Linked DNA regions of Rattus norvegicus. The protein of the gene in region 4 interacts with the protein of the main gene of each other region in a biochemical or structural test. Links are inferred from orthologs where the notes say so. Each region holds a gene or a part of one and is shown on either strand. Other genes may lie near its edges.

Region 1 (6,023 bases), on a different chromosome or scaffold from region 4:
TCTCTTATTTGACCAGATACAGATCACAGGAGCAAGAGCAAGAACACCACAGAGGTTTAGTGACCATCTTTGGAGTTCAGGAGTGGGGCTATGGTGGTCCTGTCAGTATGATGCACACTTCAGGTGACCAACAGTGGCTATGCTAGCCTTACCCCCACGCTGGCCCTATCAGAGCCTCTTAAGCAAGTTAAAATCTGTAAAGGAATTAAGCAGAGATTCGGGTCCATTGGCTGGATGGCCCATTCACAGCACCCTTGCAGAGAGAAGGCTCAGCTATTGCAGGTCAGTAGCGGTAACAGGTCTCTGCTTAGGCTTTTGACTCTTCAGTTAAATCTGCCAGGCCCTCTGGTTGTCCCAGTCGTGCAGGGCCCCACACTACCTCACCCATCATTGCTCAACAGCCAAGGGTACGACAATTGAAGGAAATTGAACACATTTGCATTGCTGAATGAAAAAGCAGCTTGGTCAATGAAGAAAGGCTTTCCTTAAAATCTGCACGATCATTTTCACACAAACGAATGTAGCATTCATATCTATATCTATCAAAATTTAGTCATGCTTGCTTAAAGAAAAAAAATCCTCTGCGCACAAATGAAGAGCCATAGTGACATCTACTGTCTATATAAGGCGGCTCGCAATGGCGACATCTACAGTCTATATCTTAGCCAGCCAGCACAGGGTTTTATTTTTAAAGATATGTCCATCTTACTCTTTTTGTTTGTTCTTTTGTTTTTTCCTCTGCGTAGTTCTGGTCCCAGCTGTCCTGGAACGCAGAAATCAGACTACCTCTGCCAGTACTGGGATTAAAGGCATGTGCCAACACCTCTGGGCTAGAATTCTTAACCAGCCAAAGATCCTGGATCTCTTCAAAAACAAGGAAATAGGAGGAGGGAGGCCATAGCAAACAAGAAGAACACAGGTTCCTATGTGAACAAGAAATCTGCCTACGATATATGTGATTTATGGATCTCATAACTAGATAATAGGGTCACTTAAGGTCCTTATTAAGCCAAGAAGGTAATTTTCACATGGGTGACATAATTCGAGAGTTATAAGAAAAGCAAAACCTAGTGTGGTTACCTCTAAGATGGCTGTTGTGAGCCTTGTCCATAAGTTGTGTTCAGGATGACTATCTAACAAGTTTAATGAGAGCTGTCTAGTAGTCATATTAACATAGATATGTTAAGGTCTTTCTAACATTTCCTTAGTGTTTTGTGATTTAAAATGTTCTTTTCTAGGTTATTAATATTTTCTTGCAAAGTATACAAACGTTGACCACTTTTACAGAAAATAAGATCCTTTGACTAAACTCACATTTAAATTTAGAAATGCCTACTTGTGGGCTAGCTACAAAGACGGCTCAGGAGTTAAGGCTCAAACTAAAAGGACGGAAATGACTGTTTTCAGGCTAAAAATGCGACCTTCATGTTTTCATGAATTAAAATATTTGAATTTGAGTGAATAATTATGAATTAAAATATTTGAATTTGAATGAGAGCACTGGCTCACATTGCTATACCTGCGCTACATTTTCACCCTTCTCAAAGTATTCGCAGTACTCTCTGAGGACGGGATCATTGAACTTAATCACAGTTCAGGAAGATGCACAATCAGTGAAAATGCCTTATTTAAGATCACAAATAGCAACTACATCAATATAGAAAACACTTGGAAACGATCGAACGTAAGCCACAGATTTTATCTGGGTGAAACACAAAACGTCAACAGTTTAGCATCAGGTCAAATAAAGTAAAAACAACTTAAGTTCCCAATGGTTTCTGAAAAACGGCTTGCTTAGAATCTCTAAGCAGCACTTAGCTTCCGGAAACAAGTACCTCCCCTAAACAGGGCTTTAAGGCCCGCGCTCCCTTCGCTCCGGCTGGAAGCTCCGCCCTCAGCCAGGGGACTCCGCCCAGTTCCGCCGAGACCCGCCCCTCCCCGCCCCAAACCCCGCCCAGTCCCGCCCAGCAGCTGCCTAGATCCTACTCTTCGCCACGAGTCTCCGCGCAACTCCGCCTAGCTTCCGCCCTCCACCGCTAGACTCCACCCCTCGACCCCTGCGCGGCGGGTTGCCAATACGCATGCGCGGTTGGCGTCACGTCCGGCGACAGGCCCCAATCTCCGGAAGGAGCGGCAGAATAGTGGCGGCGATTTCTGCGTCGAGCATTTGGAGTTTCTTCGCTGCTGAACGGGTAGACTAAACGGCGGCGACATGGTGGAGGTAAAGTAACGCTCGGGCACTCGGGAGTCGTTTGTCTTTGGAGCTTTGCCCACGGAAGTAGGATGAAAGTACTGGGAATCTGGGGAAGCGAACTGTAGCCAAAACTGGTGGTCTTGGGCTGTCGGGGTGGGAGGAAGGCCGATGACATCCCGAATCCGAGGTTCAGTCGGCGGGAAGCCTGAAGGAATCTTGCAGTCGGTGTGTTGTTGGCATCTGGCCCTTTCCTGGGAGGCGGGGCTTCTGATGCTCCCACCTTGGCTGGGATGCTAGTCCGTGCTGTCTTGTCAGTTTCACAGTTATTTCATCTCTACCCCATTAAAGCTTGCCGTGCTTGATTTTGTTTGTTCTTGCGTATCCCAAACGTTTCTTATTCCCACCCACTGCGTTCCAGATCCACTGCAGTCCTCCTAATCTAGCCCAACATCTTTTGCCTGGACGAATTCTATAGCTTCCAAGTGCTTACGATTAACGAACACATTGAAGGAATGTAGTTCAGTGCTGCTTTCTGTCCCAGTGTTAAATGTTGGTGATGGCAGAGGCCTAAACCCCACCGACCTTCGGAACCCACACTCCCGCAGCATTCACAACTGCTGCAGTTCTGAATTATATGAACGTCTTCGCAGTGGCATCTCCCAGAGCTTGCACTGTTTGAACCTCTATTCTTTGTAAGGCTGTCTCCCTCTCTGCTTACCTGTCACCAGAGAGAACCTTTCTTGATTATATCTAGCAATTCTTTTTTCCCCTCTGAGTCACCCCATCGAACCCTCCAAAATGTGGAATTATTTTGCTTATTTTTGTGTGTTGTCTCTTGAACTCTGACCAGACAGGAGCTTTCTCATCTTTGTTGTTGGCTGCTGTAGTTTGTCACAGTTACTGAGGAGTGTTAGCCTTTATGTATTTAGCATGTAAAGTGCGTAATGAATCTAATGTTGATTAGAGCGTATGGGTCTCTTCTAGCTAGATGTGTGATCTTGATTGTCTCTTTACAGGAGGTACAGAAGCATTCTGTGCACACACTAGTGTTCAGGTCATTGAAGAGGACCCATGACATGTTTGTGGCTGATAATGGAAAACCTGTGCCTTTGGATGAAGAGAGGTAAGTTCTATTCCTTTTCAGTTGCTAAAGTATTTTATATTGATAGAAGAGCGCAAAGTGACAGAGAGGAGGTGACTTTGAAAGGTCTTAAAAATGCAGACACAGGATACTTGGGCAGTAGCGAGTGTCTTTTCATCATAATACAAATAGCATTAACTCATTTTGCTTATTTTTGTGTGTTGTCTCTTGAGCTCTGGCCAGACAGACAATAACTCTTGTCTATTTTAAAAATCTAATTATAGTTTACAGATACCCAGTGTGATGATTTGAAAGAGAATGGCCTCCATAGTTTCATGTATTTAAATGCTTGGTCTCTGTTGGTGGAACTGTTTTGGAAGGGTTAGAGGAGGTGTGTCATTGGGGATAAGCTGTAAGATTTCAGAAACCTACACCATTCCCAGTTAGCTCCCCTATCTATTGCTCCTTTTCTCCCCCCCTCTTTCCTCCCTTACCTCCCTCCCTCCCCCAACAACCCCCACATCATGCTTGTGAATCAGACGTAAGCGCTCAGCTGCTGCTCCAATACCATGCTTGCCTGTCTGCTCTCATGCTCCCTACTCTGATGGTCAAGGACTCTAGCCTCTTAAACCATGACCCCCAAATTAATACTTTCTTCTCTAAATTACCTCAATTATGGTGTTTGCCACAGCAATAGAAAAGTAGCTAGTACCCAGTAATTAGGGGCATTCCTGTCACGTTATCGTATTTCTAGTGCATCACTTTGTGCATGCTTTTAGCTTCCTGCTCTCAGACTCTCGTTGTGCTGAAATTGTTCTTGGCCAGTATCTCTTCTCCCATCTGTGCTCCTTGGTACAGTGAAGACTTCTAAGTGGCATACTCTTGGTTCTCACCAATCCTAGTCTGGGATTGTGTTGTATGCAGTGCCTTTCTCTGTCCTTTGCTTTTTCTTTATAATCTACTTAATTCCCCTCATTTGCATTTATATTTAATTTTTAAGGTGGATTATCTTTTTAAGTAATATAAGTACATTTATCTTTAAAATGCAGAGCTAATTTAGTGCTTTCATTGGGTCTGACTTTTTAGATTACTAATAAAGGTGTCTATACAAATTTTACTATATTCAGACATTTAAAGGTTTTTTTTAAAAGATATATTAGTTTATGTATGTCTTTAATTTACTTGGACCCTTGAGACCTCATTGAAAAAGGTTTTGTGTTTATTCAGCTGCAAACTATGGTCCTGCTTTGGATTAAATGACTACTGTATGGTAGATTGTGAGGTAAAGTAAATACATATGGTATAGAAATACATTTTGAAATTTCATATTTGTTAAAATACTAGTTAACTTGAAAAACATCCTGGATCTGTGAGTTGGAATACAGTATCTCTTTCTGTACTTGTGTTCTGCTAACTGAATATTTTCATTGGTGATGTGTTTCTAATATTTAAGGATGCATTTCATGTTTATGATTTTTAAATAGTCACAAGCGGAAAATGGCAATCAAGCTTCGTAATGAGTATGGCCCTGTGCTGCATATGCCTACTTCAAAAGAGAATCTTAAGGAGAAGGGACCTCAAAACGCACCAGATTCATATCCTCATAAGCAGTATCCTGCCAATCAAGGTGAAAACCATGAGGTTTACAAGTGGAGTTTTAAAATAGAAAACGTTTCCTTAGTGCCTCACTGTGGGGGGACTGCTTATTTGTTGTTGCTATGGTGGAAGTTTTGATGAACTCATCGGAGTAGTAATTAAGATGCTTAGGTGATGACTTTTACTAGAAAGCAGAATGTATGATTATGGTTCTTAGGAGGTAGACAAGATTACAGTGGAGTCTACAGGGAAAAACTGAAGTTGATTCCTAACCTGTGGGGAGACCATCTGTGAGGTCTTTATTTTGGAAAGATGAAATTATAATGAACAAAGAGAATCTAATATTCCATGTGCAACTATTTACTGTGAAGAAAGCTAGAGTAGGTTGTCAGTTGGGGGGGGGGGGTCCTGTTCCCAGCATGGCTCGGTGGAAGCACATGATCTGCCTGTTAACAGTTTACAGGCAGAACCATCAACTCCCTGCCTTTCTGAGGCTTCTGTAGAGGTGGAACGGAAAACTTGAGTTAATATTTATAATACCTTTTAAAAGGCAGTACGTTAATAAAGGTAAATTCATTGGCAATGATTTTATTTATTTATTTATTTTTAGGACAAGATGTTGAATATTTGGTGACAGGTACACATCCATATCCACCAGGACCTGGTAGGTGACAGTAAGGTTGCACAGATGTGTAGACAGTGTGCCTTAGACAGTTGTGCAGGTACCTAAATGGAAGAGGATGTATGTGTGTGTGCATGTGTGTGTGTGCATGTGTGTGTGCATGCGTAGACAGGTTAGCACGAAGGAAGCAAGTATAATTAGATAGAGGGCAAAAAGCCTTTTATTTGTATAACACACAGGCATTGAGTACTTCTTATAGTAACTTAATTTACTCTTGGAAGTATTCTGTTAATGTTTGAGTGACTACTGTTTGCTATGAACGTACTGTCTGAATCAATAGGAAAATATCTTTATTGTCTTGGGTTGCTTTTGATACAAAGCTATATGTGTTCCGTCAAATTTGATCTGTGTATTAACCTGAAATTATTATAAGAAATTAAAAGCAACATCAAGCCGAATGTAATGAAGGTTGTTCTATACAGGTGTTGCCTTGACTGCTGATACTAAGATCCAAAGAATGCCAAGCGAGT
Region 2 (5,382 bases), on a different chromosome or scaffold from region 4:
ATATTTCTGGTTATTTATTCAGCTCCCCACTGCTACACATTACGGAGCCATATGCTGTAGGAAGTCATCCCTTCATGTCCACACTCAGCCATCCACTGACACTGGCAGTTCAGGCCTGTACAAAGCTGGGGGAAGTCCCTCGAGAGAGGAGCTCTAAGGTCAGAAAACCCAGAAAGCCAAATGCTTTACACGCTGTCTGCTTGGGAGATAGTGGCTATTTCAATAAAGGACAGGCAATTAGAAGGGTGAAAGACGAACGCTCTCAAGAAAGGAAAACCAGAGTTGCCTCAACAGCAAAGGCCTCAGAGTAATTTCCCAGAACTCTCTCAGCACTTTAAAAAACAATTTGCTTTTAAAAGCAATTTCTCAAAGGAAGATTTTCGATCAATCCAAGGTCTAGGATACACTGTATGACAGGCATATTTCAGCTTTCCACAAACCTTTTAAAGAAAAGGAACTTTAGAGTTATCCACATTGATAATCACCAAGGCATTTAAAACACAAAACTCATTGTGGAGTTTGTCATGATAGTGAAACCCTGGAAATGGCCACAACGTTTCCTGTGTCCCTCAAGTAGTTACTGCCCCCTCATGAAGTTTATGTCACAGAATGACAAATACCACATTAAACTAAAAAGGAAACAACATGAAATGTTAGAATGTGGCAGGACTAAATGTTAAATCAATCAAACAAAAAAAATGCCCACCAATTTAATAATAAATGATAATATAATAATAAACAGCAGTAAAACCAAGAAGCCAGTATCCACCCAAAGGCAGGCTAGGCTTGGGTGACAGACTGGAGCACTTTAGCTTCGGGGAGAACTCGGGCCTTGGTTACTCCTTTGTCAGCCTGACATGTAACACACACAGTAACTAAAAACATTCTAATAGAAGACAGAGTGAACATCTACAGTCTAAATTACACTTAATAAATATATGTCAAATTTGTAAGACACTTTCAAAAGCATATCTTTGTTCAGAGTTGTCATTGCCACCAAACTAGAGGTTTCACGCTGGCCGACCCCAGCTCAGCTCCATGAATTCCATAATGATTAGAAAATTCCAAATGTATTGGCAAGCAGCACCCAGAGCCTCTCAATTTCAAATGCTGTCCCTTGGGGGTACTGCACTGTGGTCACCTCCTCAGGATCTCTCTTTTCCTTCCCAGCCACATTCCTCAATAAAACATCAAAACAAGCCATTTCTTCACTTTGTTTCCAACTTTAAGATTCTTTGGAATAACTGAGAAGCTAGAACAGTATTGTCTTTAGAGTAGAACAGAACAAAAAAGAGACATTAAAGGAAGTATTAAACCCAAAATCCTAGACCCATCCTTCCTATTTTCATATTCCACACAGAATTCATTACTGAATGAGAAAATAGGAATATTTTGCTGTCAACAGCAGGAATATAGACATGGAGGTCTATGGAGCACACAGATTTAGAGACGAACCAACCTAAGTTTAGAAGGTAATGCTTAGCTTTCTCCAAAACCAACACAATGAAAGAAACAAAGACATGACCCTCAGGGCAGAGGCCTCATCACCAGCTGACACCCAGCACACAAACAATGCACACCCTTCAGAAAAGCTCGGAGACATCTAGAACACTTCCCCAAGTGAACTGTCTGGATGAATGGGGAACTCAAGTGGCAGCCTAGAGCCAGGCTAGAGCGGGGCAGGCAGACAGGCAGTGGGTAGGACTGGGACCCACCTGAGCATGAGGTTCATGAGCTGAAGGCCCTCACCCTTCAGGAAGCGCTCCCGATTGGAGCTGAGCATCAAGCAGGAACAGAGGGCGTCAAACAGGTTCTCCATCATCTCCTGCTCCTCAGCGGTGCTGGGGTTGTGTCTTTTAAATACCTGCCAAGGAGAGTAGAAAGGAGCCATCAAACATGCTGTCCCATCAGCCAACACCCTACCTACAGTTTCCAAAGCCCACCAAGGAAGCAGAAATTTACAAATGAAGCTCTCGCCAGTTTCCAGTTTAGAGCAACTCAGTTCTGTCTTGTGGGCACTAAATAAAGATATACAAGTTCACATAAAAACACTGAACACTGAGCCAAGCACTGGACCTGAGAACAACTCACAGCTTTAAGGCAGCAGGTCAGCCAAACAAAACCACACAGCTCAGCCCTTGTCCATGGTGAAATGACAGAAACAGAAAAGGCCATACTGGGCATACACAGTGAAGCTGAGAGGGACATGTCTGAAACCACAGCTCAGCTCCCAACCCAACCCTGGCAGAAAGTTCCTGCTCAGTCCAACCCCACCCCACCCCCTTTCTGATGCACCCACAACCCAGAGGAGCCAATCCTCTCTCAGTGTGAAGAGGTGCTTCTTCCCAGGAGAGCTGCTGGATCCCCTCACTCAGGAGCAGGGGCTCAAAGTCCCAGGAATGCATCTGGGCAGTTCTGCATGTCAGAGCTGAGCCGGGCAGGGAAAGCCTGAGCTAGCTGGGCAGGCAGCCCCACACAGTCTGCAATCAGTGACTGCACAGGATAAAGCTCGGCACCTTATGGGGACCGCAAACAGCTTCCCTCCACAAAGCTCTATTTTTAGGGTGGAGGCCAAGTCACTCAGCGGCTGGCACGGCAGGAAAGCTGTATGCAAACTGCCATCTCAGACACTCAACACTCGTCAGCCTGTGTCCAAGTGATCTGTTTTCAGTGCTGTTTTGGAGTAACACAGATAAGGTTTGTTAGAAGTCTTGACTGCATTTCCAGAATGCCAGAAGGATAACATTTCAACTGGATTTACATTTCTTTTATCCAGCAAATGGCAGTTTCCAATGTCTCACTCCTGCCTGCAGTGCCACAGCCATCCCTACTGTCCCCATGATCACAAGCCCACTGTGCTCAGCACTGGAAACGGCTCGCCTTGGTCTCACCTGGACCTAAATGAGCAGACAGACTCTTAGGGATGGACCAAGGGGGAAGGAGCCGAACCATGTGGGGGCAAGGCAAAGGAACCCAACTGGCTCTTCTTGGCTGGGGGACATAGAGGAGGGCACCCTGCTTTTGGGTCAGCAGCTGGGAAAGGCCACCGTGGCACTTCCTCAGAAAGGGCCAGTGAGTAAGAAAAGAAGGCAAACCCTGTTTCTCCAGAGTGACCTCCAACCTGCCTTGGTCACAATGTGGCTGCTCCTTCCGGTATTTCTACCTCCACCTCCCACTTAAAACAGGCCATGGACCTTCATGGCCCACAGGAAGCAGAAGGACTACTCACGGATAACTGCTGAAGAAGCACATCGATTCCATCCAGCTCTCCCAGCAATTCCCTGTTTTCTAAAAGGAAGAAAATAAAGGGAGAAAAAAAAAATGAAGCCAACTGTCAGATTTTACAGCCATCTACCACTGATCCCTCAGCTAACAAAATCAATACAGCTTGACAGAGTACAAAAGCTGCACAGAGAGCAAGCAGAGAAACCAGGCAATGCCAAAGGCAAGTTCATGGGCTCCGAGGGTGAGTGTGGCTGCCAGCCTGGCCTGTCTCTAGGAGGGAGCTCACCATCATTGTCCTGGAGGAGGATGGCCAGCACTTCGCTGCAGTAGAGCTTGTTGGCATCAAAGGGCATCTTGGCCTGTGGGAAACAGAAATGAGAGGGCCATTAAGGAGTCTTGCTCCCTTTCCAGGGCAAACTGCTCACCCACTAGAGCTGAGGAGGCTGAAGGAAAGACAGGTTAGGGGGACCAGATACAGCTACTCCATACTATGGCAAAGGGAAGGAGTAGTATGTGAACGTACCCTCCTCCATAGAGCCTATTTTGTGCCCATATTTTAAGTCTAGAGACTGTATGTCTCCCATGCAAGTAAGAGAAAGTTTTGAGCTTATAAGATTAAAACATATGAAACTCCAATTTACAAGTTACAACCAGAAAATGAGGCTGTAAATTAGCTGATACATGATCAGAGAAGTTGAAAAGAAAGCAAGCTCTTGTTCAGATTAGCTAAAAATATTTATAACGAAGTAGTTCCTTTTGGAATTTTTTTAATGTTTAAAATTTAATTTGAACCCATAAACCTATCTGCTTGTAAGCCATAATCTGCCTACTATTTAAAAAGGAAACCACATTAAATATGCAAAAATGTGTTAATATTTTAATACCTAAATCACTACCCACAATTCTTCCCCTGCTGTGTGCTCTGCAGCTTGAAGACTCGGAGGGGACATGTCCACTGCAGAGGCCATCTTTCATGGCTGTCCTGTTACTTCAGCTGCAAGACTTCAACACAGCACCATGAATGGCACCCGTGCAAACCTCGCTGATGCTTTTATCTATGAGCGCCAGCTCCTTGAGATACAGGCACACAGACAATGACTTTAATCAGCACGACTCCTGCTTCGTATCTAGGTTTCGAAATGACAAATAATTTCTGTAGCTGCAGAGGACCGGCAAGTGTTCACACGGAAGCTGGCGCCTCCATCACTCTGTGCCATTCACAGAGCGGTTTGGACATTGATTTTGTACTTAAGGAGGAAGCGCGGTAGCGTCTAATCAAGCAACAGCCAGCGCCGGTTCAGTTTTCTGTGCACGTCTTCTTCATCAAGCCAACGTGCACCTCACAGGGTTTTAGGAGGGTGGCCGCATCTGACCCGTCTCAGGTTAAAAGATCCGTAAGTGCAAGACTGTGCACGTCCTGGCTGCACTGCGCGCTCCCTGACAAGCTGGAGGCCTTATTTCAAGAAATCTGTATAACGGCCAGAGCCTAAGTATAGCCTGTGGTATATTTTGCCTGAAGAAAGGTGGTTTTATAAACTCAAAACGTGGGGGTGGAAAGCCAGGCGGTGGGTATCTGTCAGGATGGAGGCTTCTTCAAACCATTAAAGTGCTTACCCAAGTTACTTCAGCCCCCAGTGCTGTGATTAGATTTCAAATGATTTTAGCCACATAAAACTACATGCAGCTTTTCAAAAGCCACACATTTTGAAACAAGACCCTTAAATGAAGGAAGGCCAGTGACACTGGCTACTGTGACAATGGTCTCCTGGGTTTCCACGCCTCTTGTCCTTTACTGAATTTCATAGACTTCTGCCTCAAGTTAAAAGGGACTCTTCCTCTTGCTTTCAGGAACTAATTATTGGCTATCTGCTACATGTAAGATAGAGAATTGAGGACACAACAAAGAGAGGTAAATTAAAGCTGAACCCTGTCGACCACTGTGAAACTTGCTATGCTACCTATGTGCCACAAAGCCTGCTGTTTCCAAACTGAACTGAGGAAGCTGGGTTGGCAGATTGAATTCACCGTAGGCTATGCTGAGATTTTCAGGGAAAAGTTGGTGACACCTGACAGCTGTGGAGTACTGCACACACTGTTCAAGGTCCCTTTCTTCTAATGACATCATACCTTTGTGGAGCTAGGTTTGGTAGTTGCTAT
Region 3 (5,382 bases), on a different chromosome or scaffold from region 4:
GGGTACACAGACTATTCTGTCGAGCGCTTAGAATAGAATTCTGCCTGGCACGTAGTAGCAGAGCAATGGAAAGTTTTTGTTTGTTTGTTTTTAATTTATCAGTGCTTGTCACATGGCTTTGTAATTTCTCTTGTTGATCCATCTCGGGCTCCCGATGGATGACAGAAGTTTGAGTTGTGCTCTGTGTACTTCTCTGTCATGTGCCTAGTCATCTGGGTTCAAAAAAGAGATCGACCACTCTATACCGCACTGGCACATAGGATCTGGGCAGTTATTATTTATTGACTTTTATTATCAGCAGACCAGAGATTCTAGGTAAGTAGTTGGCAAGCATTGTGGGACCAAGTACAGGCAGGCTTGCTGTCACAGACCTTGCTTCCTGATAGCTGACTATAAAGGACAGGGTCTTGTTGGGGCTGACACAGTGAAGAGTCTCCTTTTACCCTGTGGCTCACTACCTGTCTTTCTCTATAGTCTCCAACGAAGTGCCAGAGCACCCATGCGTGTCCCCTGTCTCTAATCATGTGTATGAGCGGCGACTCATTGAGAAGTACATTGCAGAGAATGGCACAGATCCTATCAACAACCAGCCTCTCTCAGAGGAGCAGCTCATCGACATCAAAGGTGCCTGCCCAATAGCCTTGGTCCAAGGCCATCTCAGCTCAGCCTTCAAGAGTGGGAGGTGGTGCCAATCTGGTGGAGAAGATGGTGGCTGTGAGTGGGGGAGGGGAAGAGTTCCCGGGTTCTAGTTCTTCATACCTGCTTTGCTGCCTCTCTTGGCAGTTGCTCATCCAATCCGGCCCAAGCCTCCCTCTGCCACCAGCATCCCAGCCATTCTGAAAGCCTTGCAGGATGAGTGGGTGAGTCTGTGAAAAGAATGCACCTCCGGGGGCTGGGGATTTAGCTCAGTGGTAGAGCGCTTACCTAGGAAGCGCAAGGCCCTGGGTTCGGTCCCCAGCTCCGAAAAAAAGAACCAAAAAAAAAAAAAAAGAATGCACCTCCGGGCTAGGACCTGAGGATTGAACAGATGAGGCCTCCCTCCCTCCCTCTTTTAATGTAGTTTTATGTTGTGTATGGCCTTTTGCTTACATGTATGACTGTGTATGACTTACGTGCCTGGTGCTTGGGAGGCAGGAGTTGGTGTGTGATCCCTTGAACTGTAGTTATGAACAGTTGTGAACCACCCTGTGGGGTTTGGGACTTGGACCTGAGTCCTCTGGAAGAACAGCAAGTGCTCTTAATTTCCGGGCTCTCAACTCTCTGCAGGCCCTCTTACTGTCTTGAGATAGGACTTTGCTTTGTTAGACTAGTCTGAAACTTTGATCCTTTTGCCTCAGCCTTCTAGTGCTAGGATTATAAGTGCCAACCACCAGGCCTGACTCTTGGGGGTGATGAACACAGGGTTAATGTAATCCCTGTACCACTGAGCAGCCCCCCTCATTTTGTGCTGGCCTTATTTCATTTGTGAGGAACAGGATAGCAATACAAGAGGAGCCCGGTTGTTGGAACTCTTGCAGACCTAGATTCCAAAGTTTTCTCCACTGTCAGCCTTTGTGACTTAGGACACACTGCTCAGTCTCTAAGACTTGACTTCCTGACTACAGGACACTCATTAGTCTTGTCTATCTGGATTCTGTAAGTAGAATGCAGTTGACATATTTGCCTTGTGACACCAGGGACTCTTTCATTACTGGGCTCTGCATTTGCTGAGGATAGCCAGTAAATAATCACAGCAGTATAATTATTTCCTTTCAGAGAGGTGATGACATTAATGCCTGTGATTTGCTGGTGAATTGCAAAGGTTGGGGTGGGAAGGAGCTAATTCTTACTCTGTGTGTGTCCAGGGTGTGGTATGGGGTAGGAGCCTGAATGTCGTACAGGGCATTCAGGGTCACTCAGATGTTGGCTTGGGTCTCTGAGTAGCTCAGGTTGGTTTCAGTGTAGAATAGGAGGTGGTGTCCTCTTCTCTAGGGTTGGCCGAATTCTCCGGCTCTCCCCCAGTCCTCACAGTGGCCTACCCTCTCCCAGGATGCAGTCATGCTGCACAGCTTCACTCTTCGCCAGCAGCTGCAGACAACCCGCCAGGAACTGTCCCACGCTCTGTACCAGCACGATGCTGCCTGCCGAGTCATTGCCCGGCTCACCAAGGAGGTCACTGCTGCTCGAGAAGGTCTCTGGTGTTCCCTGCTGCTCCCCACCCTCTTCTGGCCCTGCTGCTGGCCCTGCTTTGTTATGTCCCATTTCTAACCTCATCTTTTCTCTCAGCTCTGGCTACTCTGAAACCACAGGCTGGTCTTATTGTACCTCAGGCTGTGCCAAGCTCACAGCCCAGTGTTGTGGTAAGTGTTCCCTTCCAGGCCCCAGTAGCTGTCCCTTACACAGACAGTTTTGGTATTGTGAGCCCCTCCTACTCTCCCTTTCTTTTCTACAGGGTGCAGGAGAGCCCATGGATTTGGGTGAGCTTGTGGGAATGACCCCTGAGATTATCCAGAAGGTAAGTTGTGTGTTCTTCTGATGGGACTGCAGTCTCTCCCTTAGTACTGTAGGCATTGGGGGCCTGTAAGACTCTCACAGTGGGCAATGAGAGGAGCCTGTACTGCCAATCAAGAGCTTTCTGATGACACTTACTTCAGTCTGGCTTCCTTTGTCTCATTTCCCTGGCTTCTGAATAGAATGAGGGGTGTGTGTTTCGTAGGCTTACTGTGGGAAAGATTTAATTACCTATGAGGGAAGTTTTTAGCTCTTGCAGTTTTTGCAGTCCTTGTTGATATTAAGTCATTTCGTTATAGATTTTGATCATTTTGCCTTAGGGCAAGAGTTATCTTTGTATTAAGATGAGGAGTCTGAGGTGGCAAGTCAGACAGCTGTGAAGAGGCAGAGCAGACTTCAGACTACAGCTAGGTTCTGTTGGATGTAGTCTTCATTTGTGGGTCAACGGAGTGAGCGCTCATCTGAGCTCTCATGTTTGTAGCCTAGACCTGCTCCCAGAGCACTACAACCTGGTTCCTGTCCCACCTGCTGTGGCAAGGGAGTTCTTTTGATGTTCAGTTTTCTCAGCTATACCATAAGGTTGTGGATACCTCACCTTATAAGATGGGGGTGGAGGTGTGTCAGCTTTTAGCCCACAGTTTGGCAGATGGCGTGTTTTGGTGATGTATCAGATGTGACTAGCACCCAGTGTGCTTTGTGTCACAAAATTATTTATGTTCTCCACAGCTTCAAGACAAGGCCACTGTACTAACCACGGAGCGTAAGAAGGTGAGTTGTTGCCTGCTGGGAACACCCACCTTCTTGGAGAAAGGGCTCGTTGAAGCCTGCTTTCATTGCTGCTCTTGGGGGCTTTTTGTTTTCTCAGAGAGGAAAAACTGTCCCTGAGGAGCTGGTGAAGCCTGAAGAGCTCAGCAAGTACCGGCAGGTGGCATCCCATGTGGTAAGTGGCTGAAGGTGGCCAGCCTGCGGAGTCATGAGAAATGCTACCTGGGTCCCTGGCAGAGTGTCTCACCTTGGCTGCTCTTCTGTCCTGCCATGCAGTGGGGGGAATTGGTACATCCAGGCAGCCAGCCAAGCTGGGTGGATAAGGAATAGAACTCACTCTTCTTTCCTGACTGGGGAGGAAAATGAGGGGTGTGGGGAAGGGGAGTGGAGGACCTGTATGGCTTGGATTTGGCTGTGACTGGGTTTCATGTGGCTCTGTCTGCAAAGGGGCTACACAGTGCTAGCATTCCTGGGATTCTTGCTCTGGACCTGTGTCCCTCAGACACCAACAAGATTCTTACTGGTGAGTCTAGGTCTGGCCTGACAGCCAAGATGAGGGATGGCAGGACCCAGGGAAGATATAACCCCCCTTGGTCCTTTGCATGGATTTAAGGACAGAAAGACCTTCTGTGGCCCAGGGATACTTTAAGGCCTGCCTCATTTTTGTCTTCTTTGTATCTTCTTCAGGTGGGGCAGATAAAAACGTTGTTGTCTTTGATAAGAGTACTGAGCAAATCCTGGCCACTCTCAAAGGCCATACCAAGAAGGTCACCAGTGTGGTGTTTCATCCTTCTCAGGTAAGACACTCTCGAAGTCACCCTTGTCTTATTTCTAAGTCCAGATCCAGTGGTTTTGAGGCTCAGAACTAATTGCCCAACCTCTAGTGTTTTGGTGAAACAGGCATTGATGTTCCCATGCTGACCCCCAAGACTGTTGAAAGTCGTGTGAGTTCTAATAGATGAGAACCCTTGATTTAGAGGATAAAAGTAGCTTATTAGATGAGATTAATGGTTTCATAGAATACAGTGGCTTTGGTATGCTGCTGCCTCAGGTACTTGAGCAGCCTCCCAGGTAGTCTTTCTCTTCATACGTTAGGAAACTTAGATGTAGGGCTGGAGCGACGGCTCAGCAGTTAAGAGCACTGACTGCTCTTCCAGAGGTCCTGAGTTCAATTCCCAGGAACCATATGGTGGCTCACAACCATCTGTAATGAAATCTGATGCCCTCTTTTTTTTTTTTTTTTTTTTAAAGGATTTATTTATTTATTATATATACATCATACAGCTTTCTGCCTGAATGTATTCCTGCAGGCCAGAAGAGGGCACCAGACCTGATTATAGATGGTTGTGAGCCACCATGTGGTTGCTGGGAATTGAACTCAGGACCTCTGGAAGAGCAGACAGTGCTCTTAACCTCTGAGCCACCTCTCCAGCCCTGATGCCCTCTTCTGGTGTGTCTGAAGACAGCTATAGTGTACTCATATATAATATTTAAAAAAAAGGAAACTGAGAAATAGAGGAATTTATGTTTGTCAGTGTTCTCTTGCTGTAAAGAGGCACCATGATCGTGGCAACTCCTATAAAAGAAAGCATTTAACTGGTGCTTGCTTACAGTTTTAGAGGGTCAGTCCATGATCATGGCAGGGAGCAGGTGGCAAGCATGGTACTGGAGCAGTAGCTGAGAGCTGTATCCTGATCCGAAAGGAGACAGACAGATATGTGTGCAGCATGCATGCAAAGCACTGGGGTTGGTGTGGGCCTTTGACCCCACCACACCCCACACCCCACACCCGTACTTCCTCTGATAGCAGCATCCTTCTAATCCTTTCAAATAGTGCCACTTTGGGGGACTAAGCATGAGCCTATGGGGGCCGTTTTTAATTCAAACCACCACAACTGTGACAAACTGAAAAAATTAGGTATAATTTGCAGCGCTATTTTCTTATTTATTTGATATTAGTGCCACTATTGGCTTTTATGTGTTAATGAAAGAATAGTTGCTTTTATCTTTTAGCTGTTGCTATCCTAACTAGTTGGAATAATTTGTTAAGGAAACTAAATAAGTTCTTTCTGCCCCAAGTCTTTTGGATAATCAACTTGCTCTTGAGGTCTAAGTGGAAGGAACAGG
Region 4 (5,382 bases):
AAGTTCATTGTGGAAAAAGCCTAAAAGTAAAGTGCTCAAGAAAGATCTACGACTTTCATGTTTGTGAGTTTGCTTGGCAGGTTGTCTGGGGATTGGGTTATGCTATGGGTACCCCGGTGAAGTAGTTTTTGGAGATTGGAGTAGATGGTGCTGACTGATGAGGTAGAGGGAAATGTGGATCCTGAGCTGTTGTGGTTAGTAGGATGATGGAGAGGAAATGTGTTGAACCAGAGTCTCAAGTTGCTTCTTTGATTCTCTTTCCTGGAGTATATAATGAGACCTGGTTCAAGGTAGATATTCAGGAAGCTTTGCTTTTTTTGTTTTTGTTTTTGTTGCAGTTGTTATTTTTGTTTTGAGTAAATATAAATATGAACTCTATCTTTGAAGAGAATGGCAGGTACATATGGGTGAATAATTTTGTCTGTCATAAAGTAGTGTTTTCAGCATTGACTTTTCCCACCTCCAGTTTGTTGAGGGGCAGGTAAGATGTCCTTTCTCTCTTTTTTTTTAAAGATATATTTTACTTTAAAAATTATGTGTCTGTGCATGAGTACAGGTGCCTTCAGTGGCTAGAGACTTTGAATCCCCTTGTAGCTGGAGTTATAGGCAGGATGCCTGATAAGGGTGCTGGGAATTGAACTCACATTTTCTGCAAAGAGCAGTACATGTTCTTAACCACTGAATAATAAAGTTTCCATGCCTTTTTTATTTTTTTAACGATCGTGTGCCTCTCTCTACAGGACCTCTGCGGGGACTAACTTAAGTTTTGTCTTTTCTCATTTAGAGGCTTGTGACTGAATGCATTCTCTTTGGTAACTCTCTAGGATGAAATTCTTAAAGCAGCGGTAATGAAATATGGGAAAAACCAGTGGTCTAGGATTGCCTCATTGCTGCATAGGAAATCGGCAAAGCAGTGCAAAGCCAGATGGTATGTATGTACCAGTCAGTCCAGGGGAAAGCAGTGTGATCCGGATCCCCACTGTGATGAGGGAGCTGGCTCTTTGACCCCCTCTATTCCCCTAAAGCATGAACTGTGATATGGAGGGAAGTATGGAAAGAGGGGCCTTTAGATGTACTTACCACTTGCTTCCTGTGTCTTGAGCAAACCATTTTTCCTCCTCTTTACCCTGCCTGTTTTCTCACAACTTAGCACTAATTGATCAGTTGTGAATCCTTGTCCAAGTGAGTTAATGTATTTATTTGAGAGTGCCTTGTGAGACACAATACAAAATCTTAGGTAGCTGGGCCTCAGTTCATTGAATAAGTTGTGGTCTAAAAGTTTATAAATTGGTTATTTTAGGACTTACTTTCCCAAAGAAATAAATGCTAAACAGTGCTTTTTTTTTTTTTTTAAAGGCCAGGTCACAGTGGTTAGCTTCCTTTTAATAGGGCAGCAATATTGCATATTTGCTATACTAAAATGCAACATTCTACTTATGTGTTACCTTGTTAAGTCACAGAGTGGTGGTCATGAGCAGTGTCCTGGACTTGGATGAACCATCTCGGCTGCAGCCCATATGCTATGAGGAGCAGGATTTGGATTGTGTGAAGTGACCCAGATTCTGATGGTGGGAAGGGTCAGATGCAGAGCAGAAGGAAGGGGGCTCTCAGGCTGCAGTAGTTTGATTCACTTTCTCTTAGTGACTGTAAGCCTTAAGCTTCAGCCTAGCTGGAGCACCAGTGGCAGTGAGGACTTAGACATGTGGACAGGTTCTCACCCAGCTAACCACCTCATGGACAAGGCAGACTGAGACGTTAGAAGACGGACAGTGTCTTCTACTTTAAACTTAAAAGTACAGCACATGGAAGCACACAGCTCTGGAACATTAAACAGTGGGTTTAAGTGGACGTTTAGAGAAGTAAGTGAAGATGCTGTGGGACTCAAACATAAGGATGTACAGTGAAATTGTAATATAAATAATACAAGGTGCTATTTTTTCCAGGTACTTTTAGCAGTTCAGAAAATCTAAGAACAAGTGCTGGGTATGGTGATGCACATCTGTAATCCCATCATGGAATGCAGAGGCAGGCAGATGTCTGAATGCTAGGCCAGCCTGGTCTACAGATGGAGTTCTAGGACAGACAATGGTACACAGAGAAACCCTATCTCAAAAAACCAGAAAACCCAAAACAAAACAACACAATTACCACAAAAAACAAACCAAATAGACATAAAACAAAAGACGGTTAAACAAATAAAAATAAGTACTAGTTAAAAAAAAAAGAAGTTCCATGATTGCATCTTGGACTTTAGTTTGTTAGAGTTTTAAGTCTCACTAGTCTTTTTTTTTTTTTTTTTTTAAAGATTTATTCATTTATTATATATGAGTACACTGTAGCTGTTTTCAGATACACCAGAAGAGGGCATCAGATCTCTTTACAGATGGTTGTGAGCCACCATGTGGTTGCTGGGAATTGAACTCAGGACCTCTGGAAGAGTAGTCGGGTGCTCTTAACCACTGAGCCATCTCTCCAGCCCAAGTCTCACTAGTCTCACTAGTCTTATATACTGAACATACATTGTAATGTGAAGAGGGGCAGATGAGTTAGTTCAGCTTCACAGTGAGTTCTCTTGTCAGCATAGTGTTAGTGATTGAAGGATGAGAGCATGTGGTCTTAGAGTCGGTACATGGAGTACTAATGTTTGATATGTTGTCTTTAACAGGTACGAATGGCTGGACCCAAGTATTAAGAAAACTGAATGGTCCAGAGAAGAGGAAGAAAAGCTCTTGCACTTGGCCAAGCTGATGCCAACGCAGTGGAGGACCATTGCTCCAATCATAGGAAGGACAGCAGCCCAGTGCTTGGAGCACTATGAATTCCTCCTGTGAGTGGGCCTCAGAGTGTCCTGAAGGCTGTGTTATGTTAACCTGCTGAACAAGCTTAGAGCATTTCCAGCTTAGTTGTGCCTGTGACTAAAGCCAGAGAAACCAAAGTCACTGAATTCTGTATTCCAGATGTCGAATGGTTGAGCAAAATGATGTTTTCCGCCTCTCCTGTAGAAGGGTAGTTTACAAAATGTGCTAGTCACACTCAGGAAAGTGTGAGTGTGAGTGTGAGTGGGTGCATGAGGCCCCATCACCAACGCAGCGCTGCTGAGAGCTTATTAGGACTTTGTCGTTCTGTTCCAGGAGTGTATTTGTCTGGATGTTCTGTATTTGTGAGGAATGGCTGCTTGTTTCCTCATGAGTGGAAATACTGAAATTAGAGAATTGTAATGTCCCTTTTATTCTCATGAAGCAGTTGTAAAGATGCTGTTTTCCATAACACTCATCTGTTGGTTATTTTGGGAAAGAAAGGAGTGCCAGAGCCAGAACCTTGGTAATTCTCATACTAAATGGGGTGATGCTGTGACTGACTCATCTGGGGTTTGTTTTTTTCCCTCCAAGGGACAAAACTGCCCAAAGGGACAATGAAGAGGAAACAACAGATGACCCCCGAAAACTTAAGCCTGGAGAGATAGATCCAAATCCAGAAACCAAACCAGCCCGGCCTGATCCAATTGACATGGATGAGGGTGAGTGGATGCTGGGAAGAATTTCTGCTCACAACATGTGACTCAGGCCTTCCTCACACTCTTCTTAGTTTCTCCTGAACTCCTGATGTTTAGAATCCCAGTTCTGTCAGTGGTTATTCTAGGTATCTCCCCAAATGTGTCTGGTTTTTTGATGATACCCTTTATTTTCTCTTTCTTCATTTCATTTAATGAATTGATCAGTGTAGTAGTCAGATGTGCCAGAAGTGGGTGATGAGGCTCGCAGGATCCTGTCTCTCGTTCCTTTTCTAGAAGGAGAGACAACAAGCTAGCATATTGGACTTTGCTGTTTTTTTGACTTTAGGGTGATTTACTCTCTAGGAAAGGACTGGTCTTCAAGAGCTATGCTGGAGACTGACAGTGATTCTGTAACACATCGAGTCAAGAGTCCGGGATTGGCCTTTGGGTCCATCTCTGCTATTTACTAGCTGTTTGACCTTAGCTAAGTCATGTAGGCTCTTTGAACTTGAGAATAATACCTCCTTTACCTTTTTTTGGGTACGTGGTAGTTTAAAGATGAAAAGATTTAAAACCTGAATGCAGTGGCTCCCAAGAGTGACGAGTATGTGACTATGAGGCTGTTACATCCTTTCCACTTGGGGAACTTTTAAAGCTGTAGGCACCAGGTCCTCCCCTGAGGAAACTGAGTTGGTAATTCTTACTGAGGGAAGAGAGAGGACTATGATCTGAGTGGAGTCTTAAGTCTTGTCCATCATTATGAGACTGCTTTTGTTGTTTTGTTGGGGAGAGCTGTAGAAAATGTCTTGGAGAAAAAACAATTCTGAGGGGAAAAATGTCTGAAGGTTATCAGTTCCCCATGATTAGTTGCTGCATTATTTCTCTGCTGGTGAAGTGTCATTTTGTTGGTGTTACGGATGCTATTGTAGTAGAGCTTTCTGTGAGCAAATACTTGATCCTTGCTTGATATACTTCATTTTTCTTAGCTCTTAGCATCTCTGAAGTAGACATTCTTATTCTGATTTTAATGGGAAACATTTTCACAGAGGTAAATATGGCACGAGGCCTACATAACGAGCAAGTTAATGATGGGATGATTTGTAACCTTTCTCTGACTTGACAAGTTTTCTGTGCCCTGTACCAGTAGTGAGTATATTTATGCTTTTGTCATTGTAAGCACTGGGATATGCCTGACTGCTGTTGTTGGAGAGGAACTTATTTTTCTTGTCTTTATTTTCGCAGATGAACTTGAGATGCTTTCTGAGGCTCGAGCCCGTTTGGCCAATACTCAAGGAAAGAAGGCTAAGAGGAAAGCAAGAGAAAAGCAGTTGGAAGAAGCAAGGCATGTTTTCTTTTCATTCTATGTACAGTAATTGGTTATGCGTCCTTAGGTTCAGGCAACTGTATGGTTATCTGCTCTAGTTGGTAACTAGTCTGAACTGATCAATTCCCATTTTGCTGTTACTCCTTAGTGCCTTTATTGTTCTGGAACATCTGGAACAAACAAAAACAACTTCTGTATTTTCTCCCTAACCATTTCAGAATAGTTATAGGAAAAATACACTTAAAAAGTTTACAAAGCATGGCAGAAATTACGGGCAAATACTTGACCCAGCATGCTGTGTTTGATCTCTTGTAGCATTGTGGCTTCAGGTGGCTTTCACATGATTGTCAGTTTCCAGCTCCTCATCCTCTTGGTCAGTGTTGGGCAGGACTCCCAGCTGATCCTAGAGGGACTTAAAGTTAATGAGCCTTGAGCCAAAGTCTAGGCTGTCGGAGAAATCGTCACTTAAAAAGCGAGCGAACTGTATTAGGCATTGTTCTTTGCTTAGGCCTTCCCCCACCTTCTCCTTGCTTCCTTTTGGTTGAATTTATATCATTCTGATGCC

The links.
Region 1: the proteins of Cdc5l (region 4) and Plrg1 form a complex in vitro, tested with the Homo sapiens proteins (3 studies listed by BioGRID, with this or other methods). The link is inferred for Rattus norvegicus from reciprocal best matches to the Homo sapiens genes CDC5L and PLRG1.
Region 2: the proteins of Cdc5l (region 4) and Ctnnbl1 form a complex in vitro, tested with the Homo sapiens proteins (3 studies listed by BioGRID and IntAct, with this or other methods). The link is inferred for Rattus norvegicus from reciprocal best matches to the Homo sapiens genes CDC5L and CTNNBL1.
Region 3: the proteins of Cdc5l (region 4) and Prpf19 form a complex in vitro, tested with the Homo sapiens proteins (2 studies listed by BioGRID, with this or other methods). The link is inferred for Rattus norvegicus from reciprocal best matches to the Homo sapiens genes CDC5L and PRPF19.

The regions. Positions count from the first base shown.
Region 1 is NC_086020.1:170,704,069-170,710,091, forward strand, and holds the start of Plrg1 (pleiotropic regulator 1), read left to right. Parts: upstream 1-2,119; 5' UTR 2,120-2,212; coding exon 2,213-2,221; intron 2,222-3,210; coding exon 3,211-3,317; intron 3,318-4,759; coding exon 4,760-4,902; intron 4,903-5,481; coding exon 5,482-5,535; intron 5,536-5,975; coding exon 5,976-6,023. UniProt on the Homo sapiens protein: Involved in pre-mRNA splicing as component of the spliceosome. Component of the PRP19-CDC5L complex that forms an integral part of the spliceosome and is required for activating pre-mRNA splicing.
Region 2 is NC_086021.1:166,890,187-166,895,568, reverse strand, and holds part of Ctnnbl1 (beta-catenin-like protein 1), read right to left. Parts: intron 3,585-5,382; coding exon 3,512-3,584; intron 3,289-3,511; coding exon 3,230-3,288; intron 2,248-3,229; exon of another isoform or gene 2,209-2,247; coding exon of another isoform or gene 2,092-2,208; intron 1,865-2,091; coding exon 1,716-1,864; intron 1-1,715. UniProt on the Homo sapiens protein: Component of the PRP19-CDC5L complex that forms an integral part of the spliceosome and is required for activating pre-mRNA splicing.
Region 3 is NC_086019.1:216,968,266-216,973,647, forward strand, and holds part of Prpf19 (pre-mRNA-processing factor 19), read left to right. Parts: intron 1-474; coding exon 475-624; intron 625-783; coding exon 784-860; intron 861-1,971; coding exon of another isoform or gene 1,972-2,028; coding exon 2,029-2,170; intron 2,171-2,265; coding exon 2,266-2,339; intron 2,340-2,431; coding exon 2,432-2,494; intron 2,495-3,216; coding exon 3,217-3,258; intron 3,259-3,355; coding exon 3,356-3,430; intron 3,431-3,702; coding exon 3,703-3,778; intron 3,779-3,942; coding exon 3,943-4,052; intron 4,053-5,382. UniProt on the Homo sapiens protein: Ubiquitin-protein ligase which is a core component of several complexes mainly involved pre-mRNA splicing and DNA repair. Required for pre-mRNA splicing as component of the spliceosome.
Region 4 is NC_086027.1:23,064,088-23,069,469, forward strand, and holds part of Cdc5l (cell division cycle 5-like protein), read left to right. Parts: intron 1-824; coding exon 825-928; intron 929-2,665; coding exon 2,666-2,827; intron 2,828-3,389; coding exon 3,390-3,517; intron 3,518-4,735; coding exon 4,736-4,835; intron 4,836-5,382.